Linked DNA regions of Coturnix japonica. The main gene of each other region encodes a partner of the protein of the gene in region 6 in a complex. Links are inferred from orthologs where the notes say so. Each region holds a gene or a part of one and is shown on either strand. Other genes may lie near its edges.

Region 1 (4,101 bases), on a different chromosome or scaffold from region 6:
TTAATCCAGTTCTAAAAAGGGAGAAATTAGATTAAAGACAATAGGTCCCTCCCTCCCGTATGTACAGACGTCAAACTGTATTGCTTTCTCATCAGCAATCCCAGTTTTCCTGTCACACTTTGTTAAGCTTAGTAACTATCAGTACCCTCACAGTTTGGTCAAAGGCACCACAAACACACAGCCCCTTTTTGTCGGGGCTCCAGTCCAGGCTGGAAATGGGCTGTGTTGACAGAGTCACGTTCTGCAAGAGGCTGACAGAACCTGCCACCCCCATCTCAGCTCCTTCCGAGTCCTTCTTTGAGCGCTGAGCCGGGTACTCGCTGGCAGAAAGGAAAGGAAAACTGAGACAAACAGGAATCTCATCCTGCTCTTAAAAGACAGCACAGAAAGGTCTCCTCTGTTCTCAAGATAAGACAAATGTCTTCAAAATAGCGAGCCATCATATCCATCATATCTGAGCTTGGAAGTGAGTCCCCACGCACCATCTTTACAATGATTCTTTCTTTAAACAATAAACAGTTGTTTTGGTTCCTTATTCCCCTGTTATAGAGCAGACAGTGATCACTTACTATTTCCAGAGATGAAGGCTCCCAGCTCCTCCGCTCGTCATAAACACATCCCTGTTCTGCGGGAGGTGCCGAACCTGCCAGATGGTGGATTTGTGTGCCTAGGAAACAACCAGCATTGGACAAAAGTTCTGTACAAACTCCTGTACTACATGTTGCTAAAGGAATGATCCATCTCCCCATTACCTTCTCTGAAACAGAAGCAAAACCTTTAGTTGGGTGCTGAGTCCTCATATCGAAGACATGGAATTTTCCCTCCAGTGACGTGGCCACCAGCTTGTTCATGTTCACATCTTTCCTGTCAAACTCCACACTGCAAACCTGCAAAGAGTGAAACCAATACGTTCAGCCACTGCTACAAGCATATATTTGTGAGTGTGATTTGCAGACACGTATCTAATCATTGGTTATTCTTACAACAGCTTCACCAACTCGGCAATAACGCGATTGCCTGTAAACAGACACACACCACAGCTGGAATGAAGCCCTGCTTCCACAGCACCTTACCCCGTTCTTAATGTTGGTCTCCCATCGCAGTGACATGGCTTTTAAGTCAAACAACTTAATGTCCCCATTGTCGTATCCAGCACATACTACACGTTCCTCTTGATTGTAAGCATTGCCTGGACACAGAGACAGAATTGATCACAACACAGAAACCCCTCTTAGGCTGTAAATTTGAGACCTCTTAAGTCAGCAATTTCAACTTAGATTTATGCCAGCAAAGCATCATATAGTAGGATTTAATGAATTGAGAGCACAGAGTTTGGGATGGACATGGCCTGGGCTCAAGCATCCTGAATTCAAGAGCACAAGTTAAGCATCTCTGCTGTCTTTCGTTAGCTCTGGGGATTGTCTCTTACATTAATGTCTTAATGTCATCAGCAGATATTGGTTCTCCATGCACAATCACAGTTAGACCCCTCCAGGGCAAAGTGGTTTCTTTGCTTTTACATTCCTAGACATAGAAATGTTCAATTCCCACACTAGGGCTGTAAAAATGCCTAAGAATAAAGCTTGTCTGTGAAGTGATTGAGCAGAGATGGTAAGAAAACAATGCCTGAGCCAACTACCACCAAACGTGATGGAAAGACAGCCTTTAAAACACAGTGCAAAGACACAGATGTGATAACACCGAACAACAAACCCTGCCTTCAGTGGTTTGATTACTGTCAACACGCAGTGACATTACAGGGGGCTGTTATCAGACTGGTTACCAAAGGCCACCGTCCAGCAGTCCCTCTTGCTCTCTCCCTGCGCAGGTTCCATGTTGGCAACAGGAGTTTCCTTCTGCCGAGGGTCCCACACCTTCACAGTTCCTAAGGAAAGCAAAGCCATCAGTGTTACAGATGCACTGATGCACCACTCTTGGTTTCCCAGGGAAAGGCAGCCTGACGCCTCCAGACTATGTCAGTGTATAGGAAGAAATGAAACATAATACAAACAGAAAAGCACAGGGAAAGTATAAGATGTCTAGCTGCTATTTTGTATTTGTTCTGCTTTATGTTCCTCCTCTCCAGCTCCCAAAGGAAGCAGAGGAGGCTCATCCCAAAGGGCCGCCCTCCATTTCGGTGCCCACAGCCTGTAGTTCAGGGATGTCACTGAGCAGCTCAGCTCTCTCCCACTCACCATCCCGGCTGCCTGTCACAATTTCTGGGGCACCTTCCCCAATTCCGAGGCCTCCGACCCCATCGATGCAGTTAATGATTTCCTTGTGACCTTTCACGGAGTACACGGGGACTTCAGGAGCTTCTAAGTTCCTATGTGAGAAACAGATAACACAGCGTTGCCTTCAGTAGCCAGGAGCGCTGTAAGGAATCACACACCCACCAGATGCTGAGGCATCCCGCGAAGTCCCCTGTCGCCAGGTGCCGTTGCTGCAGGGAGGCTGCCCCGAAGGTGGCACATTTTATCGGTTTGGCCTTTTCGATCTGCAGATAAAGGACACGGTCGGCACCGTATGAAGCGTTAAACCCCTCGGCCTACGAGGTGCCGCCCCGCATCGCCCCGCTCACCTCGCTCAGCAGCAGCAGCCGCCCGGCTCGCAGCTCGTACAGCTGGATGAGGCCGGTGCCTCGCGGGGCGCTGCCGAGGCACAGCAGGCGGGCGCTGCGCGGCACCCACTTGCAGTCGAACACGGTGTAAGTCAGCGGCTGCTGCACGTGAACCACCACCTGCGGCCGGTCCAGCCCCGCCGCCGACATAACGAGCGACGGCAGCGACGCGGATAACGCAGGAAGCGGAAGGGACGGCGGGACGGGCAGGAAGTGGCGGTGGCTTTTCCGGCGGAGGGCCACGCTATGGAGTCTGAAGCGGATGAGAACGGGAGCGGCTTCACCAGCGTGGCTTCCAAGCGCGGCAGGAGGAAGCGGAGAGCGGCGGCTGCGGAGCCGATGGAGGCGGTGGATGCGGCGGGGCCGCAGCCCAGCAAGAGACCCGCCTTCCCACCGCTGCCCGCCGCGGCCATGGGGGTGAGCGCGGCGCCGAGGCGGAGGGATGGGGCGGACGGGCTGCACGTGTCCGCTCAGCGCCCATCTGTCCGCAGGTGGGGAAAGGGGAGGTGAGGAAGGTGCCGGTACCGGCCAACAGGTACACGCCGCTGAAGGAGAACTGGATGAAGATATTCACGCCCATCGTGGAGCACCTGCAGCTCCAGATCAGGTTTAACTTAAAGACCAGGAACGTGGAGATCAAGGTGAGCGCTGTGCTGTGTGTCCTCACGTTCCTCTCATCCCTCGTGTTTCATTGAAACCCGCCCAACCGGGCCTTGGGCACCTCCAAGGCACCCACAGCTCTCTGGGCAGCCTGTTGTCTTAAGCACAACATACACTACTGGTCTGCGCTTTCAGTAGAACACAATGCGGAGGTGGCATTACACGAACGTGGCTTTGGCTTTCTTTTATACAGCCAGCCTTTATCTCACTGACTTTCCAAGTCCTGATTCCGTTTGCCTGATAACATAGAAACGTATCTTCTCGTTCTGCAGACCTGTGCTGAGACCAAAGACCTCAGTGCTCTGACCAAAGCAGCTGACTTTGTCAAAGCCTTCATACTCGGCTTCCAGGTGGAGGTGAGTCTCCCAGCGGCCGGGTTGTGCTATTGCTCAATATCTTCAAGCACTCTGGACATGACATCAAGAAACAGAAAACTTCAGGGTGGTTTTCTTTAATGTTTGAAGTTAAAACTGATGTTTGATGCGTCAAATGGAGATACGTGACTGATTTGATCTGTTTGGGCCTGTAAAGAACTTGTGTGTGACAGTGCTGCAGTGCTCAGGCTGATGGTGACTCTGAATGTTGCAGGACGCTCTCGCTCTCATCAGATTAGATGATCTCTTCCTGGAATCATTTGAAGTTACGGATGGTGAGTAGTTTCTGCTGTGCTACTCAAGCAGCCATTCACTTCTGAGCACTTCTTTGCTCTTTCCTTCTTTTCCACGTGTGTCACTTTGGGGATCAGGAAAACCCCGATGCCAATACATGGCATAACTGTCTATGGGGAGAACCTGGAGCTGGACACAAGGAGAGCAGCATCT
Region 2 (3,353 bases), on a different chromosome or scaffold from region 6:
CTGTGCATCTCTAACTTAAGCCTGAAGTGGAGAGCAGATGAGCTACCTGGAGAGCCAGAGCTGATTTTATGACCTCTGCCAAAACTATTATGACTTAAATCAGTTATCCCATTGCTACAGGCCAAATCCAGCCTGTTCAAGCTGCAGTTTTTGCTAATATGTGTCCATTTTATTCTTTCATCCTGTTTTGAGAGCCTTATTTTTCTGTATTCTCTTGGCTCCCACCTTGACAGCAGCCTGTGTTTTCCCATTGAGACAAACACGCTGCTGCCTTCTGTTCCTCCCTACGCATCTCTCAGGAGATTCCTGACGTGTTTCAGATGCACGGGTTTCATTTCATTTTAATACCACAGGCACACACAGCTCTTCTATACTCTGGGCACGCTGTACATTTACAATTCCTCCTACTTCTGTTCCTGACACTGCAGTGAACTCGCTCTGCAGCCAAACTACAGAAGCTCTCACATAACAAACCCAACAACAAACACACACACACAGAGTTAGGAATGCCCCACAGTGCTGGTTTTAATAATCCCCCTTGCAGGCGGGTGTTTGTCAGAGGCTGTGAATAAGCCACTGTTCCAGCAGTTGCCTCAGCACTGCTCTGCCACCGGCAGCAAGGAGTGGGGAGAGTTTACAGCCAGAATTACAGCTGAGGAGCTGTATCCTTCCCTGTGCCCACCAGGTTCTTTAGGAGAGGCTCCAGCAATGCAGGAGAGCTGGAAATCCTACAGGCTGTGTCTGATGCAGTGCAAATGCTGTGAGTGATACCCGACCACCGCAGGCTGAGCAGTGCTTGCACACGGTTGTGGTGGTGGCAGGGCTGTCTCAACCTTCCAGGATGCGATTGATCAGTTTCATTTCCTCTGCACTCATGGGGTTCAGGTTAAATCCCTTCAGCTCAGGTTTACCTGTAGGGATGTGCAGAACGTTGGGGTTTTGCTATAAGACACATGAAGCATTCCATGTGAAACCACGCAGCAATGATGGCTCTCAGCATCGTGAAGGTTGGAAAAGAGCCCTGAGATCATGAAACCCAACCCTGCCCACATCCCTCAGTGCCACATCCCTGCGGTGCTGGGATGCCTGCAGGGATGGTGATGGAGAACCAATTGTTCCTACTATCCACCCTGGTCGTTGCTGTGTGTATCCAGCACGCTGCTGGCTGACAGCTTTACCAGGGTAGGGAGGGAATGACAGAGTGAGAGGAGGAGCAGCCCCGGCAGCACTCACACATTGACTTCTCCCCAGCATCTGCAGCCAGACCTTTGCTGTTGGGGTTCAAGACCAGGAGTGTTTTACCTTGAGCTTCAAAGAGACGGTTGACCTTCACACGCAGCTCTTTCCGGAGGTTGTTTATCTCCTCATCCAGCTGTTCCTGATCTGAAAATAGCAGGGCAAGAATAAGGGGGGTTAACCCATGACATGGGGACTGGGGTTGAACAAGGGACCAACAGAGACCCTGCCGGGCTGTGTGAGCAGGGCAGGATGGCAGCATTGCTCTGTTTTAGCTCCGAGCTCCTCGGGGTGAGCAGATCCCTCCGTACCGCTCTGCAGCATCTCCTTGGCCTTGGCCTTGTGCAGCTCGATGAAGGTGCTCCCGAAGCACACCATGGCTTTCCCTGCAGTGAGGACCAGCCGTGCTCAGCGCTGTGCCCCGCACACACCGCCCCGATCCCGGCCGAGCTCCGGGACTCACCGTCCGGCTCCGGGTCTTTAAGCAGCGCCCGCAGCGCCTCGCGGTTCCGGTTCCGCTTCACGTCCAGATCGACGATCTGCAAAGAGACGGGAGGGGATGGGGATAAAGGGGGGGGTCGGGGGTTGTCGGGCCGAACCGGGTCGGGTCTCACCTGCTGCCGTGCGGCCAGCACGTCCTCGGCCAGCTCCTCCACCTCGGCCAGGTAGCGCAGCACAAACGCTGGGTCCCGCGCCATGTCGGGCCGCTCCGCCCCGTCCCATCCCCGCTCCCCGCCGGGCGGCAGCAGCGGCCGCGATCCGGAGTTCCGCGTAGAGCGCCCCCGTGTGGACACTGCGGGAATTGCAGTGTCAATTGCTGACAATAGCAGGACACGGGGAAATGGTTTTGAGTTAAAAGAGGGAAGATTTAGGTTGGATGTTAGGGGGAAGTTCTTCACTAGGAGAGTGGTTAGGGCCTGGAACAGGCTGCCCAGGGAGGTTGTGGATGCCCCGTCCTTGGAGGTGTTCAAGGCCAGGTTGGACGGGGCCATGGGCAACCTGATGTAGTAAAGGTGTATGTTTGGTGGCCCTGCCAGGCAGGGGGGTTGGAACTACATGATCCTTGAGGTCCCTTCCAACCCGGCTCATTCTGTGGTTCTGTATGTGAATCGGCCGGGCAGTGCTGTGGGGCGGCTCTGAAACACGGGGTGAGATTTCAGGGCTCCCCTGGTGGAGCTGAGGGTTGGGTTCAGTCATTGCTTCCATCCTGGGGTGTTCTGTGGTTCTGTGGCTGCCAGGAGCGAAGCTCTTGGTGCGCAAATAATCCCCAGAGGAAGATTAAGCAGATCGGAAGATTACCGGCCTTAATCTCGTAAAGTCGTTTGTGACAGTTAACGGGAGAGATCTCGGTCTGTGGCAGAGTGTGCTGAAAGAAGAAGGTGCCCAGTGAAGTGGTGGAAATGAGCACTGCCCGTCTGCATCCAACCCCGTCCTAGCGGGGACTTGGAGCTCGATGATCCTTGAGGTCCCTTCCACCTCGAGCCATCACATTCTACGTGATAGCAGTAGCAGAGAGAAGCCTGATGTCCACCCCTGAAGCAGGCAGTGCTACTCAGCAGCTCACAGCAAAATAAAGGCTGTGGGTTTACCGTGGCCACACAGAGGGTTGCATGAGAGCTGCAGCTGAGCTGTGGCAGGAGGCATCACAAAGCTTTGGGCACCTGGAAAACATTCCCAAGGCAACGATGGCTGCTGGTGCCATGCTCTGCAGGCCTCTCCCACAGCAGGCCCTGAGCCAGATGCAAATCATCACAGCCTTCCTTCTCCTGGACCCGGCGCCGTAGGAAAGCTGCTTGCCTGGAAGCTGGACTCAGCCTGAAGGCTGGAGGCTCGTTCAGATTGATTGCATGTTTATGTGCCCTCCTGGGAACCTGTCTGTGCAGACAGAGCATGTGGTCATCCACTCGCTGCTATGGGATGGTTTGCATCTGTCTGTATTTTGTGGCGTAAAGGGAAGGTCTGGGTTTCAGCACGTTCCTTTTTCTTTCTTCCTTGAATCACTTTCATTTATGCAGCTCAGAACCCTCCCTGCCTGCCTGCTGACAGCTGCACAGGAAGGCTTCAGGGATGTTTATGGGGTGGGTTTTTTTTCCTTCTCATCTTTCCCTGTGATTGCC
Region 3 (4,163 bases), on a different chromosome or scaffold from region 6:
TGGTAACTAGACCAGAGACTACTGAAGGTTTTTCTTATGAAAATGAATGGAATACTTTTACTTGGTTGCAGAACTGAGAGACCTCTTCACCACCCCCAGATACTCAGATGAAGTCAGAGAGGAAACACGGCAGAGAAATCAGGGAAATTAACTGTTAATAAGTTCAGTTTTTCAGTTAGGTCATCTTTAGGCAATCCTTACACAAACAAGGGCCATTTTAACCGCATTTATCAGCTGTCAGCAGAGATCATAAAAGAGATTTTAACTACTTAGTGAGGTCGCGTTGCAAATTTACCCAATTTACGTTGACTTTGTAAAAGCACTCTAGAATTGAGGAAGATATTGAAGATATTATTTATTTTGCTGGCATGGAACTTCCTCTGTGCTCACTGGAACACTGAGCCAGGCTAATGCTGCCACTTGGGAACCCCTCGAGAAGGCTGCTTGCTCAGCAAGGTGGAATCACTAAAGTACAAGGGAAAGCATTTTGCTGTCTATAAGCATTTCTGCTAATGTAAGAAACTAAAAACAGATTTTCTTTCAGATTTCTGGAGTGTCACAGGTGGCATCAGGAGGTGGAACCTGGAGGACAAGAAGAGATCCTGGGGGAGGAGAGTAAGTAAAAATATCTGTGGGACACAAGCATTTATATCCAGAAAACCTTACTGACTCTACTAAGTGTGGGAGAGATTCCCCAGTTTAAGATCAGCATTGAAGAAAAGTTCACATCATGTTCTGGAAACCACCGTGACCACCAAGATTTTTCCTTTTCAGATCACTAGAAAAAACAATGTAAGTATCACATAAAAACGTTTCTGTTTTTCTGAAACTTACCAATTGCTCGTCTGAAGTTTTCCATCAGAACTTCTGTTTTCTTGATTTCAGTAGAATAGACCTCACTTCCAACCATAGGACAAAAGGGAACTTTACTGCCAAGTTCCTGAGCAATAGCTAAAGCCAAGGCAGTCTTTAAAAATGGAAAAAGAAATTAAGCATTTCATTTTTATGAGGATTCTTTCTGCACTAAGTTAACTTTCCTCATCGTATCACCTTCACTCTATCAACTACTACTACTATACTATAGTATTATATATATATATACATATATATACTATATTATAACTGCTCTGACATCTCTCACATATAACAAACATCTCCCACCAAAACAAATTAGACACGCATAAGGTGACTTCTACCAATGACTTATAAACACTGTAAAGGAATGATAGTGGACTTCTGAATTTAACATCTTATAGAAATGAGATGGAAAGGGAAAAACAACTAAAAAGAATAACTATTTAGGCTTTTAATATCGAATTAACTTATAAGACTAATCAGAAACTGTCCTGCCTCTGTGTTTGGCAACCTATATTAGGTGCTTTCGCACTAATGATGGCTGCACAAACCAGAGGATGCTGCCAGTGCTAATGACGTGGCAAAAATTAAACACAAAACAGGAGACTGTGTCAATACCTTAATGGAGGAAAAAAAACACAACAGCAGATGAAGACAATATATAACCGCTATTCTAAAATGCTTGTGGCAGCACGTTAAATTACAGCGGATTTCAGAAGGTTTTATTTCTTGCAAGAAAAGGAAAATAAAAATATCAGGATACCTTGCCAGTTCCAGGAGGTCCTGCCAACAGGACAGCTCTGCCAGCCATCTTCTTGCTTTTGATGAGCTCTACTATAACCCCACAAGCCTGCAGGATAAGGGTTGGCACCATTAACAAGAGTACTGTTAAAATACATTTAATTCCAGTGATACTAGAAGTGTTTAGAACTACTGATCTTCTGAGGTGCCAAAATTAAACTGCAGTTCAATGTTATACATAGGAGTGAGGTAAGAAAGAAATCACTTCCTGCAGTCCCTGTATCTGGCACATTAAAGAAATAAATCAAACAGAACTCAAACCAAAGAGCTGGGGATCTTTTTCCCCTTGCAGAGCTGCACGCAGGTATCAAAGCCTAAAAACAGAGCAAGAGGGGAGTAAACTCTTGGAAAGGGCTGATAATAGCAGGACACGGGGAAATGGTTTGAAGTTAAAAGAGGGAAGATTTAGGTTGGATGTTAGGGGGAAGTTCTTCACTAGGAGAGTTCAGGTTAGGGCCCTGCGAAACCAGGCTGCCCAGGGAGGTTGTGGACTGCCCCATACCTTGGAGGTGCTTGTCAAGTGACCCAGCGTTGCTGACGGCGGACCTGTTGCGGGGCAACCTGATCTAGTAAAGGTGATATATGATTTTGCGTGGCCCTTCCACGGCAGGGGGTTGAAACATGATCCTTGAGTCCAGTCCCTTCCAACCCGGGTCATTCTGTGACAAACCCCCACCCGGCCTGTCGCGAGCGGAGCAGGCGGACTTGGCTGGGCCCTGCACCACCTCACGGGCACCAATCTTTGAAGTGGAGCCTTAAAACCCTGTAGATCGTTTATCCGACAATCCAGCGAGTAGTAACGGGCGAATCTCACAGCCCGGGCCTGGCGCTCTATGATCGGCGGCCGTGCCAGCCCGCGAGCAGTGCGCCAGGTGCAGGGGCCCATCTCTCACCTCCCGCGCGTTCTCCTGTCCGCACCAGGCGCGGCGGCCCGCCGGTTTGGCGGAGTGCCGCCGTCTCGTCGCAGCCCCCGGAGGGCCCAGTTAACAGGCTGTTGTGCTGCGGATTGCCGCGGATGCGTCTGTCGCAGGTTGCTCGGTTCACCTCCTCGATCTTCATCGGCGCCACGGGTCTCCCTTCTCCCTCACGTCCACCCGCGCATCACGCGGCCCGCGCGTTACCAAGGCCTACGCCGGCGCGCGGCCTCCTCGGGCTCCCCCGCTCCCGCGCGTCTCGTCAATTGGCCCTGCGTCTGCCGCGCCTCGCGCGGCTGTTGTGATGGTGTCTGCGGTTAGGCGTGACCTGTTCACCGGACGAGCTGCAGCGGCGGGCCTGGCGATACATATTTGAGAGTGTGTGGGCCGTCTGTCGCCGCATTCCGTCGGCTGCGCTCTCGACTCAAAGCGGTCCGGCGTGCGGCGGCGAGGTGCGGGGGAGGGTGGGTGTGGGGAGATGGGCCGGGACCGAGCAGGGGCCGAGCCTTTGGGTGGGCTTTGCTGTCGTCCTGCCTTTACCAGTGTGTTAATTTAACCACTGCTGGTTAATTTTTAACCAGCAGTTATTTACGTTTTACGTGCCCACGGCAATATCTGAGCCTTTAACTTCGCCTTTTTTATAACAGTATAATATAGCGACGGACAGCTCCTCCCCACGTCGAGAGTACTGATAAACTGAGGGGGGAAAACAGTTGTTCGGGGGGTCGTGTCTCATCTCCACACCCTCAGAGCTCCCTCATGTAACAGATCTCCCACCACCATGGCTGTGGGCTCTGCTGTAGTGTTACTGCACCTCTTATGTGGTCCATCAGTGCTTGGGGTGGAAATGCTGTGAAATCTCAGAGGGCGTTTCAGAGCCTGGCTGCCATCCAGTGCGTTCTTCTCTGTTGGTAGATTCTGGGCGAGGAGATGACTCATGGAATTAGTTAAGGTTGGAAAGATTGCCATGAGTGTTTCATCGTAATATCCAACCACGGACCCATGGCACTATGGCCTGATTGCCACCATCCCTGCAGTTACCACATCTGGCGCACGGCGTTCTGGGTATGCGTCAATTCAGAATCGACAGAATGACGGCCGGGTTGGAGGGACCTCTAAGGATTCATTGTAGTTCCAACCCCCCTCGCCTGAGCTGAAGCGGCCACCAAATCTGATCACCAACGCGTTTACTAGGCGATCAGGTTGCCCAGGGCCCCGTCCAACCTGGTCTTGAACACCTCCAAGGACGGGGCATCCACAACCTCCCTGGGCAGCCTGTTCCAGGGCCGAACCACTCTCCTAGTAAAGAACTTCCCCCTAACATCCAATCTAAATCTTCCCTCTTTTAACTTAAAACCGTTTCCCCGTGTCCTGCTATTATCAGCCCTTTCGAAGAGTTTACTCCCCTCCTGGGAGTAAGTTCCCTTCAGGTATTGAAAGGCTGCAATGAGGTCACCCCGCAACCTTCTCTTCTCTAGGCTGAACAAACCCAACTCCCTCAGCCTGTCAAGGAACAGCCTCCAGGGATAGTGTCTGTACCTCTCCCTGGGCAGTGAGTGAGAAGAAATTTCTCCTTGTATCTACTCTGAAAGA
Region 4 (4,279 bases), on a different chromosome or scaffold from region 6:
GCCTTTTTATTGGAGATGTCAGGGTGAAGTAACACTAGCACCTCAATTCCTGCTGCTCATTCAATACACCTAAGGTTAGCTCACGAGCTACGGATACCAACTCTCATCACTCCTGTTGGTTGTGCTGTGGCAGTGGAAAATTCCAAGAAGGAAATGTATAATTAACAGCAGAGGATGGTAAAACTCTGTCCCATGTAATTTTTGTTGGAGCTCCAGCAGTATGTGCCATGAACAGTGGAGCTGGTTCATCAGCTGGTCCACTGTAAATCAATCACGTGCCTATAAAAGCTCTGCCTGTCAGAAGGGAAAGGAGGTGCTCGCTACCACAGAACTAAAGCATTTAGAAGTATGGAATGTGAAGGTCTCCTGTATCCACTAACAAATTAATTCTGGTCTTAGGCTACCAGACAGGAGTTTGTAAACATGTTGCTTGGTCTAGCTAGTAGGTGGGACTTCTGAATGAAGGTAACGTGTCAAATATGGTCTGTAGGGCATGTTGGGTTTTTTATTGTTGTTTGTTTTTGTTTTCTGTGGAGATTGATGTAACATAATACCTTGAGCATAGAGCTGGAATTCAGTGTTGCTTTTAATTTATGTTCGAGCAGGTCTTATACAGGTGGGTTACTGCTGGAGCTCTAAGCTGTATTCAGAAGTTATCCTAAGGGCTTGGTGAAGGTGGCAGCAGGGAAGTTAACTGATGGAAGGATCCTCGTAGTTGAGAATGCTTTCCTGTATTACATGCATCTTGCAGATTGCCATGGAGAAAGGGGATAAGCAAAGGGAATGGAAAAGGACGAAAAGGCAATTAAAAGGGCAAAAATGGAAGCCAAGCCAAACGGTACAGCCAGGAATTCTCAGTGCCACAGATTTTGTGAGGAACTGCTGAAGAGGCAATTCTGAGAGTGAGGGCCCACGATTCCTGTCACCAGACCAGGTAACAAGAGCTTGAACACTCCGGGACCTGGCTCTTGTAGCAGGGCCAGCTCAAGGCCTGTGACCAGAGGTACCAGCGCCTGCTGGGCCAGGCAGGGCTCTTGCGTACCTGGAACTGCACAGTGAGGGGCTGACACCGAGGAGCAAACCGCTCCTATAGACCGAGCGGACGCGATGTGCGTTCCCATGTCCCTCGCTGGCCTCCGGCTCGCTCCGGGCCGTTATGAGCTGCCGCCTCGCGGTGTGCAGCATCCCGCTGGGCTCATCGCAGCCGGCCGGGCCGCAGAGCAGAGGCGGGCCGCCCCCAGCAGCGCCGTGATTGCGGGCGTCGCACGATGGGACGGACTGAGGCGCAGCGCCCGGCGGGACAGCGCGAAGACTTCCGCCTCGGTACGCCGGGCGGAGCGGCAAGCGGGAGAGCGACCTCCCTGTGTACTTCCGCCTCACTAAGTGTCATGGCGGCGGGGCGGGCTCTTCACGTGACGGCGCCCCGCGCGGCGCGCTCTCGTTCGCTGCTCTCGCGGTATCTGGCCGCCCCCCCGCGCGCGTCCCCCGCTCGGTCTGGCCGCTCGCGCAGCTGCTCGGCTCTCGCTATATAAAGGGGCGAAGCGGGCAGAGCGGGCGGCTGGCGGCGGCGGCTGCAGCCCCAGGGCCGGCGAACGAGGCCGGGCCAGGCCGCGGGGCTGCCCGTGAGCCCGGGCGGGACGTGCGGGCTTAGGGGGGACGCAGCCGGGCAGGTTTATTGTTTTAGGGGCGACTCCCCCCCCCGCGGTTGGGGGCGTCCCGGGGGGCTCGGGACATGGCGAGCTCGACTAACACAAACCCCGTGGTAAGGACCGGGCCGGGGGGCGAGGGGGACCCCGCGGGCGGCGCGGGCGGAGGGGGCCGGCGGGGCTCGCCGCCCCCTCCCCCGCACCCCCGTCCCTCGGGCCGCCCCGGCCCCCTCCCCCCCGGCCCGCGGCGGGAAGGGGCGGCGGGGTCCGGGCCGCTCCCCGCGCGGCGGCGGCAGCAGCAGACAACTTGTGGCGCCCGACGCCGGGGCGGGGAGAGCGCAGCCGGGGGCGGCGGGAGTGGGGCGGCGGGAGCGGAACGGGGGGCGCGGGGCGGCGGCCCGGGGGCGGGCGGCGGACGGAGCCCCGCGGGGAAAAGGCCGGGGCCGCCCGCCGCGGGCCGGGGTCCGGCGGGAAGGGGCGGGCGGGCGGGTCGGGAGGGGGGGGGGGGAGCCGCCCCGGGAAGGAGCGAGCGCCGCCGGCCCCGCGCCCGACCGGGAGCGAGCCGGGTGTCGGGGTGGCGGTGGCCGCGGTGGCGGCGGCAGCCCGGGCTCCGCTGGAGCCATTTTATGTTGCTCGATCGGAAAGAGACGATGGTTGAAAAGCACTTGTCCCAGCCCCGCGGCAGCGGTCCGCCAGGCCCGGCCCGGAACTTTTCTGCAGCGAGCGAGGCAGTATTTATTTTACAAAGAAAACTCTCGCCCCCCTGTGTCCCTTCTCGTGCTTTCTGCACCTTGGCGGGCGGCTCGCTGCGGGACGGCTCGCTCCGGTTCGCAATAAGCAGTCACACGCACGGCCGATCCGATCGCCCCTCGGTCTCCGCTCCGTCCCCGGCGCAACCCCGGCCCCGACCCCCGCCCCGAGCGCCGGCGGCACAAACCCGGCGTCCGGCGGCAGGCGCGGCCCTGCTTGTGGCGCTCGGATCCATCATGGCTTCCCCTGCCTTTCTGCCTGCCCGCTCCTTGTGTTCCTCCTCCCTGCGGCCGCCCTGTTTATATAGAGCCATTGCCGCTCTCTAATATAGACTCTGCTAGGATGGGAAGGTGCTTTCCAGCCCCACGTCACCGCCTCTCCATTTAAACACCACATCAGCCTTTAAATAGGGAGAGAGCCGCCGAGAGCGGGCTGGGAGGTGCGTGCATCGCGGCGGAGGCTGCCGGCCGTGCTTTTTGTCGCTCGGAGCCGGGTTTGTGCTCCTGCCTCGCTCCGCACTCGGGGAGCAGCGGCACTGCCCACGGCTCTCGGTGCTGGGTGGCTGTGCCTTGCACGAAGAGGGCACCGCCATCCTCCCAGCCTTCTGAAAACGCTTACCTTCCCCCCCCATCCCAACCCCCCCCCCCCTTTTTTTTTTTTTAATTTAATTTTTTTTTTTCATTTCTTTTTTTATTTATTAGCGTGTGTATTTTTTTGTCCACAGCATGCAGCTCTCTGTACCCTTATGGTCTTCCATGGAGTTTTGCTGTTTTGCTGCTGGATGGGGAAAGGAGGATTTAGATGTTCTTATCCAGCATGGCAAGGAGAGATGCAGGATTTGTTTCATGGCAGTTGGCCAGTGTCTGGTACAGATCTTATACTGAAAGCAGCATTAATATTGAAGTTCTGTTTATTGGTCCTGGGCACAGATTGTGTGAACGATTGTTGTGTGCTTCTGGTAACTGAAGGTGATGCGGCACACTGATATTTTGGAAGATTTTGGAATTTCTGCTATTATTTGAATTAATTAGAATGTTCTGAGTATTACAGAGAAGTTTACAGAAGGAAATGATACAGAGTTTCCTTTCTAAATCCAAAATCTTACCTGTAACCTGGAGACATGAGAAGCAAGGAAGTAGCATGGCTTTGCTATTTTATCAGCTGTTCTGAAACAAAATGTGGGACAGCAGTGTGCCATTGCATGCAGGTCAGCTGCTGGTAGGATACTTAATGTGTGTGATCCAAATCTGCTAGCTGTTCTGCCCATGACCTGCTGGCTTTCTTTAACTGACAGGAAGGGTTCTTTGTCTCTACAGTAAGTTAGATGTTTCACGTCTCTTTTTCTACCAAGTTATTACCTAATAGGTAAATACATCTTTTTATTGAATAATCATCTTAGCACTTACAAATATCTTTGTTATAACAACTTGCTGAGGCTTATCAGTGCTGCATCTCTGTCCTAGCACAGCACAACTTCTGCTGAAAAGTGCTTGTGTTTGATCACAGTGTTAAGAATAATAGGAACTTAAAATGACCCTGACTCCCATTTTAGGTTGAATCCCAAGGAAACGGTACAATTTTGCAGCACTCTGAAAATCAGCTCTATTCTGTAGTAGTGATAACCATATGTACCTCAGAGTTGCAGAAGATGAGCAAGAATGTGTGGAAGTACTGCAGCCAGCTGGTAACTTCAGCAGGGCAGATTTTGGACCTGGTGTGTCATAGTAAGACATCAGCATCTAATCAAATCTGTCCTTCCCAGGAAGGGATGCACATACCTTATGTGGTATAAGGTTTTGTAGGTGACAAAGGTAATTACCTTGTAAAGGTGTGACAGGTGTCACATTTAATTGCTTACAGTGTAGCCTGTATGTGCTACTTCT
Region 5 (3,943 bases), on a different chromosome or scaffold from region 6:
ACTGAAGTCCACTTGGTATTTAACATGCAGTTGCCAGCTTTCCCACTGTACTACAACTTGGAAATCTTCAACAGCTACAGAGACAGCTTTTAAACAGTTGAACTATTACCTTTGGTGCAGCAAACTTACTTTTGCATTGAGACAGTGTTTCTGTTCGGTCTACAAGGAAGAATATGTTGCTATTGGGTTGCTGCCTATAAACTTTCTGTAAAATAAATACAACACCACATTAAGTAAAAGTAGCATACACAGGCAACCACACTGCAGCAGAAACTCACTGAAGTCCACTGAGATACCCTTCCCTTTTATGTCTGAAAGATACCTTCTCTGCCATGAGCAATGTCCTCATGTCGCACCAAAACATTTCAGGAACAACCCACAACCATTCTGCATTTTCCTCCTTTCCTCATACTTAAAGGGTCATATTTTGTTTTACATCATATGCACATGAAAAATAAAGAAGCTTTTAACATAAACTGATCCACTCAAACATCATAATATAAAAATTGTGCTAAAGTAAAACCTTGAGACAGCTTCCTGTTACAATGCACAAGTGTAAGTAAACCCTCAAGCGATGTAGACAACATTTTGACACCATACAGAAGATCATATACACATTAAAATCTTTAGTGTAACAACTAAAGATAATGTACTCACTGCAATTTTGTTTGCCCTCTTGCCTCTATACAAATTTATCTGATGCTAAAATGAAGTAAGCAGAAAAAACTTTAATGCTTACCCTGTTCTTCTTCAAATTCGAAAGCTCATCAACTACAACCTTCTGTTCCTTAATCTGAAAGAGAAAAAACACATCTCAATATAATTGTCAACAATAAACTACTGTGTTGCAGTCCTGGAGATTAAAATCTTTACCCATGTTTTTAAGACAGCTATAAAAATATAAGTCACTGTGCCCTGAACAGACCACTAAAATGAAAGTGGACACAGGAATGAAAAAGAAATTTCATTACCCATTATTCCAAGCATACAACAAGTCTTCGGACCACATAACTGAATTACATTTAACACACTTCTTATTGAAATCTAAGTTATGAATTCAACAATAAGACAATGAAGCACTCTAAATAACTGCTTTGGAAGGGAATTATCTTGCATGGTTGACACTGTTCCCATCCCCCCAAAGCAGTCATTACTGGGAAGCCAGAGTACTCCTCGCTGCTCAGAATCCAAAATCACTTCACCCTCAACCTCCCCCAAAAAAACAAACGTATAAACAACTATTAACATTTGTCAGCCTGGAGAAGAGGAGGCTCAGGGGAGACCTTATAGCTCTCTATAACTTCCTGAAGGGAGGTTGTAGTGAGCTGGGGGTTGGCCTCTTCTCTCATGTAAGAGATGACAGAACTAGAGGGAATGGTTTTAAGCTGTGCCAGGGGAGATTCAGGCTGAACATTAGGAAGTATTACTTCTCAGAAAGGGTAGTCAGGCATTGGAATGCACTGCCCAGGGAGGTGGTGGAGTCACCGACCATGGGAGTGTTCAAGAAACGTCTGGATGTTGTGTTGATGAATATGATTTAGCTGGGAAGTATTGGTAACGGTTGGACTAGATGATCTTCTAGGTCTTTTCCAACCTTGATAATTCTGTGATTACGCAACTTAGAGAAAAGATTTACCTACACAATACACTTTATAATCTTATTCTCCAGATTCAAAATGAAAACAGTAAATGAAACAATTAAAAACCTACATAACCAATAACCCCCCCCCCCCCCCCCAAATAAATAAATATGTATAAAACAACCCCAAAACTGTATTAAGATAATTAGAAACACTTCCAGTACACTGGACTTTTAGCACAAAGTTGTCATGCTGCATCTACCGCCATCAGTTCAGCTGCACTGACACAAACAGTCCAATGCTCCTGCTTCCCTGGACAACGTCAGCCACTAAAGACAAAGAGCCATTAAAGACAAAGAGCAATCAGGGCCCATCAAAAAAGCTGAAACACAAAGCTAAAGTGGTTCAACACACACTACTTTCTGTAAGCACAGAACACACCTTACTCCGGTCCTCCTTTCTGCCTCCTGGAATTGGCGCAGATGGAAATAACTACAGGGCTGTATAAGGCAAACTGAACTGAGAAAATGCTGTTTCACCAACAGCTACAACAGCATACTATGATAGTTATTGAAACAGACAAGAACACAGTGCAGTCTTGTGATGCAAAGCAGAACCAGGCATTTCAGCCACGCAGCTAATACGCTGTGTTGTGCTGATGCAGTTGCTCTCTTTAGTCTCTTATGTAACCAATCAACTAGAGAACAACACTAATCTATTGCGATATTAGTGTAGAAGAATAAAGTCACTTTTTATGCGAGGACAACTGACCAGGACTGTACAGAACTCACACTGAACAAAGACAAGACTGCCACTACGAAAAGCCCAGCTTTAAAGCTGGCCTCCTCACTAAACTCCCTCACGACTTGCTCAACAAACCCAGAGAACCACATTCTCCTTCGACTAATCACACACAGCCCATCTCACAACACTAAAAACGGGAAGGGAACTCGCCAGAAGGGCTCACAACACTCGAGCTCCCCCACACCTTCACCTGGGCCACAGCGCAGCTCAGCCTCCAGCACACCCTCCTCCTTCCCACACACAACTATGAGACGCAGGGCAGCACCTCAGACCCTCCATAACTCACCCTCCGGCTCAGCTCCTCCTTACGGCCCAGCTCGGCGCTCTCCTCCTCCTCCCGCCGCGACATCCCCAGCTCGCAGTGCCGGCCGCTGCCGTCGCACAGCAATATACGCACAACGGCTGCGCCTCACGCTGTGGGCTCCAAACAACTGCAGCGACTGCGCATGCGTACAGCAGAGCGGCTGTTAGGCGCGTATGGCTGAGGTGGAGTTATGGCCGTAGTGGCTGTGGAGCAATGAGACCATTTTCCTTCAGTACCGGCTGCCTTGTTGTCGGATCTTTGATAGTATTTTGATTCATGGAGACATTTCCCGTTAGTCCCCTGCTTGAGCTCTACTCATCTGTTGTGCTGTGTCCAGGTGTGGAGCCCTCAGTACAAAAAAGACATGGAGATTTTGGAAAGGGTCCAGAGGAGGGACAGGAAGATGATCAGGGGGCTGGAGCACCTCCCCTATGAGGACAGGCTGAGGGAGTTGGGTTTGTTCAGCCTGGAGAAGAGAAGGTTGCGGGGTGACCTCATTGCAGCCTTTCAGTACCTGAAGGGAACTTACTGCCAGGAGGGGAGTAAACTCTTCGAAAGGGCTGATAATAGCAGGACACGGGGAAATGGTTTTAAGTTAAAAGAGGGAAGATTTAGGTTGGATGTTAGGGGGAAGTTCTTCACTAGGAGAGTGGTTAGGCCCTGGAACAGGTTGCCCAGGGAGGTTGTGGATGCCCCGTCCTTGGAGGTGTTCAAGGCCAGGTTGGACGGGGCCCTGGGCAACCTGATCTAGTAAAGGTGTATGTTTGGTGGCCCTGCCAGGCAGGGGGGTTGGAACTACATGATCCTTGAGGTCCCTTCCAACCCGGGTCATTCTATGATTCTGTTGGAACCTTCATTATCTGTCTTGCTACATTAACCAAAGATGATAAGTGAATGCTTCATCCTTCTGTGCCATCTTCCAAGTAGTAGTAGTGCTTTAGCTTAGGATGCAAGTAGCAGTGTGTCTTCTTGGTGTGGAAACAGAATCAATGAGATGAGACGGCTCAACCTGGCTGTTCCAAAATACACTTAAACAGTAGGACTAAAAGAGTACGACACATCGTGTGAGACAGTGCTGACATTATGAGTAGAACAGAAATGCTGCACGTCCAGCCTGTGTAGCCCTCAGTGAAGGAAGGAGACTGCTGTAAATCCACTGTGTGGAAAGGCATGGAGAGCGTCTGGACGGGCTGATACACGGCAAGGTCCAACTTGCTATTTCTTCATGTGCAAGTGAAATTGGTAAGTGTACAGT
Region 6 (4,118 bases):
CTTCCCTGTGTCATTCAGTTGCTTCGAGGTGTTTTCATGGCGTTCCTGATTGAAGCAGAAGGATTTGCAGCAAAATCCGTGCTGGGAAATGAGGAACTGGGACAAGGAAAACAACTGCAGGGGGGCAGCAGGGACAGAGAACTTCCTCAGCCATCGAATGCAGACAGCTGAGAGCTGGTGGTGGGTGGGAAGATCAGATGTCACAGAATTCTTTCACAACTGGAAGAAATAAGTCAGGACGTGAATGAGCTCATGTCTCCCTCAGCAGCTGCTCTCAAAGCAAAGCCCTGCTGCTGCTCTGAACATTGAGATGTGCCTTCAGCTGTGATACTGAGGCACCAAACCCTAGTATAGCTTTGCTCTGATCCATCCCATACAGTTCCCTTCGCAAATCAGGAGGGAATCCTTTCCCAGAGCCAACTCACTTCAAGTCACCCCTAGAAAACCACAGCATAAGTTTAAAGCACTGCCCGTAGATGGGGATCTCACACATTACCTGAGAGCTCTGATCACTGCACCAGCCTGTAGGTGATGTAACGGCCTGCGGTCTCACTCGGTCTTATGATCTTCACCACCTGGAAGGGCAGCAAAAGGAGCAATGGGGGATGGCTGGTGTTACAGCAGCTGGTTCAGCAGGAAGCCAAGCCTGGCCCCAGGGCTATCTGCTGCCTTGCACACATCTCTACATAACCCATAACGTTCAGAAACAAAAACACTAACAAAGAGGAAACCTTTCCCATCTCCAAGCTCTGACACACTGTGCTGCAGCTCCCCATCCTGCCTGCAGGGCCCTGCTGTTTGTTATCAGGCTATTTGCTCTTACCTGGCCTCGCTTTATCCCGAAGTATCGGGCCACAGGATCCCCAGCCTGGATCCTGGGGAGTTGGTTCTCCCTCAGCTTACTGCATGGAGTCAAGGAGGAGCTCTGTGTCTGCTTGTCCTGAGGCAGGGCACAGCTAACAGAACATCACACACTCAAAGGAATCCATTTCTTGCCCAAGACAAGCACTCATCACACCCTGACTGCAAGGGAAGGACCAAACAAAGGATACTATCTGGCCAGCAGCTCGGTTACTTCTTCTTTTGTCATGACAACGTGCTCTGGGACCAGCTGTAAACAGGAGAGAGAAAGAGAGATCATAAGAGTCTGAGAAAGCAACCAGCTCTGCATAGCTGCAAGACTTGGGGGGAGGAACAAAGCTCTGGTGGGGAAACCCAGCACAGGGCAGGGCTGGGAGGGCCGGCCTGAATCACTCACCTCGTGTTCTGTGATGTTGATCAGGAGCTCCTGCTGTAAGAACTGCTCCAGGATGTATTTGGGAGCCATATCGACCAAGGACTGGGAAGGGAGAAGCACATCAGGTTGTAGCACTGATATGAGACAGTGTGAGCTCAGAGATGCCCCAAGATGAACAGCAGCAGGAGGGCAACACGGTGTCTGTGCTCACATTGATATGGTCATATGGGCAGAGAGGAAACAGATCTCTGTGCCCAACCAGCACCAGCTCAGTGCACTCAATGTATAAGCCCAGTATTAAGGCACAGAGCCTGAACTCTGCCTTTATGGACCCAGCACAGCTCAAAGAGCCCCGGGGCCACATCACACTGTACCTGCTTTGCCGATGGGGTCATTCCCTGCTGCACCACGATCAGAGCCCGCGTGATGTTCTCCTCCTGCATGCGCTGGCAATACATCTTGATGGTTTTAATGCCGACTTTGGGTTCCTCTGAGGGAGGAAAAGAGCAGGGTGAGATTGAACCAGGAGCACCACCAGACCCCAACCTGACCCCAGCCCAGTTCTAACCTGGTCCCAGCCCAGTACTAACCCGGTCCCAGCTCGGTTCTAAGCCAGTCCCAGCCCAGTCCCAACCCAGTTCTAACCCGGTTCCAGCCCGGTCCTAACCCGGTCCCAGCCCGGTTCTAAGCTGGTCCCAACCTGGTCCAAACCTGGTCCCAGCCCGGTTCTAACCCAGTCCCAACCCGGTTCTAACCCGGTCCCAGCCCGGTCCTAACCTGGTTCTAACCCAGTTCTAACCCGGTCCCAGCCCGGTTCTAACCCGGTCCCTACCTGGTCCTAACGCGGTCCCAGCCCAGTTCTAACCCAGTCCTAACCCGGTCCCAACCTCGTTCTGACCCGGTCCCAGCCCGGTTCTAACCCAATTCTAACCTGATCCTAACCCGGTTCCAACCTGGTTCTAAGCCGGTCCCAGCCCAGTCCCAACCCAGTTCTAACCTGGTTCCAGCCCGGTTCTAAGCTGGTCCCAACCTGGTCCAAACCCGGTCCCAGCCCGGTTCTAACCCAGACCCAGCCCAGTCCCAACCCGGTCCTAACCTGGTCCTAACCCAGTTCTAACCCAGTCCCAACCCGGTCCCAGCCCGTTTCTGACCCGGTTCCGACCCGGCCCCGTTTCTCACCGGGGAAGAACACGAACATCTGGTCCGTGGGATCATCGTTATGTGCCACCAACACGGTCAGGTCCGTTCGGCGCGGGCGGCCTTCGCTGGGTTTATCCCCGAACTGAGCTTTAAACTCCTCCAACGTCTGATCCAACTCGTCCTGAGTCACCAGGTAACCGCGGTCATGGCACAGCTAAAGGGAAATACAACATATGAGACCTGAAACCGGACCGAATCGAACCGAACCGAACCGGGCCGGCCCGCACCTGCATGATGGTCTTGCGGATCTTCCACAGCCGGTACGTCTCCTCCTCGTCGTCCATGTTGCCTCCTGAAGGACCCCACGAGGCTGCCCGCCTCAATGCCTGTCCACAACGAGCAGGCGGGGCTGCCCTGCGAGGGGTCCTTGACCGCGGGGAACGCTGGGAGATGTAGGCGGGGTGGAATGGCGGAAGGACACCACCCCCTTGTTGACACTGCAGCAGCCTCGCTGATTTGATTGGTGGTTTCGCCTGTCTATCACCCAAGGGAGCGGCTCGCATTGCGCAACTGCAAGAAGTGGGCGGTGCCTTCGCGCGTCCTAATCGCTGATTGGTCAAAGGGGGGGAGAGCGGTGGCGGGATGGGGTGGGGGTGGCGTTGCGGGCGGGCGCTGCTGTGCGGGGCGGCGGCGGCGAGAGGAGCGGGGCGGACAATGGTGAGTGGGGGGGGACAGAACAGAACCGAACCGAACCGAACCGGGTCGGTACTGGGGGGGTTGGGGGGGTTCGGAGCCGCTTTGTGACCGCTGGGCCCCGCAGTGCGCGCAGGCGGATGAATGGCGATCGGCCACCTCCATCTATGACTTCCACGCCACGGATATCGACGGCCGAGACGTGGCCTTGGAGCAATACAGGTCTATTAGATATATATATTATATAGACATTATATAGACATTATAGAGACATTATATGTACCATACAGCAACACAGCAATGGGCTGTATTATATACCCCCCCCCCCATTTTACCCCCGCAGAGGTTCCTTTTACCCCCTATTTTACCCCATTTTACCCCATTTTTACCCCCTATTTCACCCCTTTTACCCCCTATTTTACCCCATATTACCCCATATTTTACCCCATATTACCCCTTTTACCCCCACAGAGGTTCCTTTTACCCCCTATTTCACCCCCTTTACCCCCTATTTTCCCCATATTACCCCCACAGAGATTCCTTTTACCCCATTTACCCCCACAGAGGTTCCTTTTACCCCCTATTCTACCCCATTTACCCCCACAGAGGTTTCTTTTACCCCCTATTTTACCCCATTTACCCCCACAGAGGTTCCTTTTACCCCCTATTTTACCCCATTTACCCCCACAGAGGTTCCTTTTACCCCCTATTTTACCCCTCCAGGGGTTTCGTCTGCATCATCACCAACGTGGCTTCCAAATGAGGAAAGACTGCAGTGAATTACACTCAGCTTGTCGACCTGCACGCACGATACGCTGAGAAAGGGCTGCGCATATTGGCCTTCCCATGTAACCAGTTTGGGAAGCAGGTGGGCACCTCAATGCAAAGATATGGGGTTGTGTGGGGTTTACACGTGTGATACCTGTTTTTCCCCCCCCCCAGGAGCCTGGGGATGATGCACAGATCAAAGCCTTTGCGGAGGGTTACGGGGTGAAGTTCGATATGTTCAGTAAAATTGAGGTCAATGGGGACGGCGCCCACCCGCTGT
Region 7 (4,200 bases), on a different chromosome or scaffold from region 6:
CAAACAGCAATGCCTGCAAGAATAAGAAGTTTACAGCTCAATACAAAAGCAGTATTTGGACTTACCATGCTCTAACAGTATGTTCTTCTGATTGGACCAGATATAGTAGTCCAGCAGCCCCCTGTAAGCCTGAATCAGCTTCATTTCTTTATCCTGAACAGCTGTTTTTTCTCCAAACCTCCAACTCTCTGCCAGGGACAGGTTTTGGTAGGCTTCATCTATCAGTCCATTACATAGGAGATGAAAGGCATGCTCTAAACAAACCTGCAATTCAAGCAGTCCATACCACAGTGTTTCACATCATAAATAGAAAGAATCTCAATAATATAGTAAACACCTGCATGGAAGTGAAAGGGAAGAGACACTCATTACTGACATAAAAAAATAAATAAATAAAAAAGCAAACATGCAAAATATTTCTATTCGAAGCAGGTTTTACAGGTATTGTTTTATTCAAACAGTGTATTCATAGAGAGCTTTGACAATAAAAACCAAGTGTGGGAGAAGGCGAGTGTCAATAGGAGACTGAAGTGTGCACCAAGAATCATAGAATCATACCCAGGTTGGAAAAAACCTTGAAGATCATTAAGTCCAACTGCAGCCTAACCACAGTACCCTAACTCTAAAATCCCTCTGCTAAATCATATCCCTGAGCACCACATCCAAACAGCTCTTAAACACATCCAGGGATGGAGATTCAACCACCTCCCTTGGGGAGCCTATTCCAGTAAGAACTTAAGTATTTTTTTCCAGTTTGAAGATGGTGAAGAAAGATTATTAAAGGGTTCTTGAAATCTGTGTGGGTGAGAACCATCAATAAGGTAGTAAACGTTCAGCTGTAATTATTATCAAGGCAGCTGAAAGCACATGGCTCAAAACCTTGCTTACCGTTAGTAAACGCTGAATCTATTTTAGAAGAGCTAGAAGTGACCTGAATTTAGGGTTACACCGAGTTTCAATTTGCTATGCAACTGCCAAAAACCTGAAAAAGGAATGCCCTACTACACGATCATATTGATTAGGCATTGGATGAGAGTCCAAACTTTTAGTTAGTAAACTCTTGTATGGAACTAGTGTTGGAGACCTTGAACAAATACAATAGATTAAAAGATAGAAAAATCTGGAATCAAAAACAGTCAAGGAAATCAAAACAATATAAGCTTGAATAAGTTACCATAGGAAAAGAACTGGGGTTCTGAATGATACAGGTGTTCACAGAATAAGCTTTACTATTTTATATACAAATTAGCTACTTGAAAAGCAAGTGAAGTTTAACTACAACTGTTTGACCAGGAGCACAGGGGTCAAATTAAGGACTGAACACAAGACTTCACAGGTCTTAACATGTAATTAGATGTTAATGGGGAATGTATGAAAATGAATCTAACAGTTTTAAGAGCAATTAAAGAATCTAAGAGTTACTGCAAGCAGATAAAAATGTATCGACCAAATAAGACGCGGCTAGCCATGGAACAGCCCCTGAAACATCTTGCAACTATTAACTCAGCTACACTATCTTTTTTGACACTATTGTAACATTTCAAGAGAGCTTTCAGAAACAGTAACACTCAAATAGATGTTGAGGTGAATGTGTGGGAAAACCATTAAGACAGCGTTAAGTACACTCACCTTCAAATGCCTTTTTATTGCTAAAGTTTTCATTTGTTCAATGAAAGAGTTGAACTCTCTCATGTTTCTGTGGGAATAATTGAACAGGATTTCTGATCCTAGTCTCCAAATCATCTGTTGATTTGGGGAAAAAAAAGATGCAAAAAATCTCAGTATGAAAATGGGAGCAGTCACCATATATACAATCTTATCAAGCCTACAGCTACTGTAACATGTGAATAAAATGTACTTTTGCACCGCAAATAAAAAACGAGTATAACATTGTCTACTGTTACAGTTACACACATATCAGTGTCCCATTGTTTCTTCTTTTTAAACTGACATTCCATGGGCGCTTCACAACTTCTCATAACAAATATGGCACATGAGCAAAGCTTATGAAATCTGTATTTGTTTCATAATTAAGCTTATGGACAGTTAAAGAAAATAATAGCCCTGAAGTGTTATAGGCAAGTATTCTTTCAGCTGCAGAACAGTGCTAAGGGCCAGCAGCTCACCTCTGCAGGCCCCATGAATACTGTGGAGAAGTCTTTCTCCAGTGACTCTATGTAGGAGGTCAGGAACTCCGCAGCTCTCTTCCACTGCTTCTGTAGTAGCGCATCCTGGATGTAATTCAAACACAGCTCCTTGCTCTTCCAGAAGCTTAACCTGTGCTCTTTGGAAGACGCTAAACAAAGCAAAACACGAAGAAGTCAGCTAAACTCAGCAAACAGAGCGTTAACCAGATAACAAACTGCCTGCTATTTCAGCGTTATTTCAGTTATCTCTCTTACAGGAGCTCTCTCAGCCACTACATAGGATGATGGCAAGCTACGTGGTTTAGAAGCTGAGCACGCCTATTTTCTACAGGGGCGAACGAGACTGGAAACATGGAGCAGCTGGATTCCCCAGCTCGCCTCAGTGAGGGGGGGAGGCAGGCAGACCGGCCGTGAGGGGCTCCCACAGCGCAGCCTCGTCCTTACCTGCTCGGTAGAGGTTCCTTGGCAGCAAGGGCAGATACAGAGCCGGCTGCAGGGCGCTCCCCGCCCGGAGACCCTCCATGGCCACGCAGAGAGCGACCGGAGCGGCAAGGCACGGCTACACCTCGGCTGCCGGAGAGGAGAAGGCCGAGAGAAAGCGCATGCGCTCTGTAAGACGAGACGCAGAGCGGCGGCCATGTTGGGAGCGGAACGTCTAGTGCGCCTGCGCGCTGAGGGCAGCGGGATGGGTGTACTCGCCGGGGATGGGGCACCACAGCTCCCGTGGGCAGTGCCAGGGCTTCACCGCCCAATGAATAAAGAATTGCCTCCTCACATCTGGCCTAAATCCTCTCTCTTTTCATTTATAGCCATTCTCTCTTGTATCACCACAATCTGCCCATGACTCTGAATCCAAATCTGTGCTGTAGAGTAATAATAGTGCCCGTGCTTTCACAGGGTACCTGGATTTTAGGGATCTGTCTGCATTGACTACACAGTGTTGCATACAGCTTTGTGGTAGAACTTGTTTCACTCATTCTTTCAGCTGCTGACCGCATTGGGGTTCTTTGGGATGTTTTCCAAGTAAGAATGCAAGTTGGTTCCACTGTTCACAGAATCACATAATGACCCGGGTTGGAAGGGACCTCAAGGATCATGTAATTCCAACCCCCCTGCCTGGCAGGGCCACCAAACATACACCTTTACTAGATCAGGTTGCCCAGGGCCCCGTCCAACCTGGCCTTGAACACCTCCAAGGACGGGGCATCCACAACCTCCCTGGGCAGCCTGTTCCAGGGCCTAACCACTCTCCTAGTGAAGAACTTCCCCCTAACATCCAACCTAAATCTTCCCTCTTAACTTAAAACCATTTCCCCATGTCCTGCTATTGTCAGCCCTTTCGAAGAGTTTACTCCCCTCCTGGGAGTAAGTTCCCTTCAGGTATTGAAAGGCTGCAATGAGGTCACCCCGCAACCTTCTCTTCTCTAGGCTGAACAAACCCAACTCCCTCAGCCTGTCCTCCTGTTGGTTGCTTGGTTCTGGTTTCTCATTTTTTCCATAAAAACTGTGCCATGTGGGGATGATTAAATTGGTTAAATTGGTTCTTTACCAATGATATCTTCTTTGTCTATCCTTTACAGTTTGTCCCTCCTATGGATGTCTCACTGTTGTTAACAAAGTGTGGTGTTACATCCCACAACATCTCTGTTCTCATTACATCAGTATCCTACTTTCACTATCCCGCTTGGCCCAATTTACTTCTTAAAGTCCTAAATTTGTTTAGAAGAAGCTGTGTGTACATTGTTGGAATGAAGTAATTGAAGATGTAGGGAATGCTGCATGGTTGTAGTGATGAAAGTCATGTACACCTATTGACTGCAAGGTACTCATTATTGCACAATAAAAACGATGGCTAATGCAAGAAGTATGTAATGCTGTTTCTCTTCACATCTCCCTTTCTTGCCCTTGTCTTTACGACTACAGACACCGCTAACTTTTATCTTGGTCTTTCAATGCTTGATAACCTTATACTGACAGCGTTAAACAGCTCTGCCTTCACGAGCAAGTGGAGCTGGAGACCAGGCTGGGAATGAAGTCACAAGGAGATTAATGC

The links.
Region 1: POLR2E (region 6) and WDR92 share a complex: the UniProt entries of both Homo sapiens proteins name them as parts of the PAQosome complex. The link is inferred for Coturnix japonica from reciprocal best matches to the Homo sapiens genes POLR2E and DNAAF10.
Region 2: POLR2E (region 6) and PDRG1 share a complex: the UniProt entries of both Homo sapiens proteins name them as parts of the PAQosome complex. The link is inferred for Coturnix japonica from reciprocal best matches to the Homo sapiens genes POLR2E and PDRG1.
Region 3: POLR2E (region 6) and RUVBL1 share a complex: the UniProt entries of both Homo sapiens proteins name them as parts of the PAQosome complex. The link is inferred for Coturnix japonica from reciprocal best matches to the Homo sapiens genes POLR2E and RUVBL1.
Region 4: POLR2E (region 6) and GTF2A1 share a complex: the UniProt entries of both Homo sapiens proteins name them as parts of the TBP-based Pol II pre-initiation complex. The link is inferred for Coturnix japonica from reciprocal best matches to the Homo sapiens genes POLR2E and GTF2A1.
Region 5: POLR2E (region 6) and ASDURF share a complex: the UniProt entries of both Homo sapiens proteins name them as parts of the PAQosome complex. The link is inferred for Coturnix japonica from reciprocal best matches to the Homo sapiens genes POLR2E and ASDURF.
Region 7: POLR2E (region 6) and TAF1A share a complex: the UniProt entries of both Homo sapiens proteins name them as parts of the pol I pre-initiation complex. The link is inferred for Coturnix japonica from reciprocal best matches to the Homo sapiens genes POLR2E and TAF1A.

The regions. Positions count from the first base shown.
Region 1 is NC_029518.1:373,108-377,208, reverse strand, and holds the start of WDR92 (WD repeat-containing protein 92), read right to left. Parts: upstream 2,801-4,101; 5' UTR 2,771-2,800; coding exon 2,582-2,770; intron 2,498-2,581; coding exon 2,397-2,497; intron 2,327-2,396; coding exon 2,196-2,326; intron 1,886-2,195; coding exon 1,784-1,885; intron 1,190-1,783; coding exon 1,074-1,189; intron 888-1,073; coding exon 753-887; intron 668-752; coding exon 570-667; intron 321-569; coding exon 113-320; 3' UTR 1-112. Other genes in the region: RNA-binding protein PNO1, read left to right, coding at 2,867-3,037, 3,112-3,261, 3,553-3,636, 3,869-3,929. UniProt on the Homo sapiens protein: Key assembly factor specifically required for the stability of axonemal dynein heavy chains in cytoplasm.
Region 2 is NC_029535.1:8,958,169-8,961,521, reverse strand, and holds PDRG1 (p53 and DNA damage-regulated protein 1), read right to left. Parts: upstream 2,009-3,353; 5' UTR 1,935-2,008; coding exon 1,851-1,934; intron 1,776-1,850; coding exon 1,700-1,775; intron 1,623-1,699; coding exon 1,548-1,622; intron 1,384-1,547; coding exon 1,303-1,383; intron 912-1,302; coding exon 829-911; 3' UTR 501-828; downstream 1-500. UniProt on the Homo sapiens protein: May play a role in chaperone-mediated protein folding.
Region 3 is NC_029527.1:7,146,614-7,150,776, reverse strand, and holds the start of RUVBL1 (ruvB-like 1), read right to left. Parts: upstream 2,801-4,163; 5' UTR 2,550-2,800; intron 1,706-2,549; 5' UTR 1,667-1,705; coding exon 1,619-1,666; intron 968-1,618; coding exon 835-967; intron 1-834. UniProt on the Homo sapiens protein: Possesses single-stranded DNA-stimulated ATPase and ATP-dependent DNA helicase (3' to 5') activity; hexamerization is thought to be critical for ATP hydrolysis and adjacent subunits in the ring-like structure contribute to the ATPase activity.
Region 4 is NC_029520.1:37,077,882-37,082,160, reverse strand, and holds the start of GTF2A1 (transcription initiation factor IIA subunit 1), read left to right. Parts: upstream 1-1,479; 5' UTR 1,480-1,732; coding exon 1,733-1,762; intron 1,763-4,279. UniProt on the Homo sapiens protein: TFIIA is a component of the transcription machinery of RNA polymerase II and plays an important role in transcriptional activation. TFIIA in a complex with TBP mediates transcriptional activity.
Region 5 is NC_029522.1:4,422,936-4,426,878, forward strand, and holds the start of ASDURF (ASNSD1 upstream open reading frame protein), read right to left. Parts: upstream 2,801-3,943; 5' UTR 2,734-2,800; coding exon 2,671-2,733; intron 794-2,670; coding exon 740-793; intron 206-739; coding exon 130-205; intron 1-129.
Region 6 is NC_029543.1:2,009,030-2,013,147, forward strand, and holds the start of POLR2E (DNA-directed RNA polymerases I, II, and III subunit RPABC1), read right to left. Parts: upstream 2,801-4,118; 5' UTR 2,722-2,800; coding exon 2,665-2,721; intron 2,592-2,664; coding exon 2,417-2,591; intron 1,728-2,416; coding exon 1,612-1,727; intron 1,340-1,611; coding exon 1,259-1,339; intron 1,112-1,258; coding exon 1,053-1,111; intron 903-1,052; coding exon 824-902; exon of another isoform or gene 576-823; coding exon 510-575; 3' UTR 497-509; intron 220-496; 3' UTR 1-219. UniProt on the Homo sapiens protein: DNA-dependent RNA polymerase catalyzes the transcription of DNA into RNA using the four ribonucleoside triphosphates as substrates.
Region 7 is NC_029518.1:15,717,994-15,722,193, reverse strand, and holds the start of TAF1A (TATA box-binding protein-associated factor RNA polymerase I subunit A), read right to left. Parts: upstream 2,801-4,200; 5' UTR 2,671-2,800; coding exon 2,592-2,670; intron 2,297-2,591; coding exon 2,127-2,296; intron 1,744-2,126; coding exon 1,630-1,743; intron 265-1,629; coding exon 66-264; intron 1-65. UniProt on the Homo sapiens protein: Component of the transcription factor SL1/TIF-IB complex, which is involved in the assembly of the PIC (pre-initiation complex) during RNA polymerase I-dependent transcription.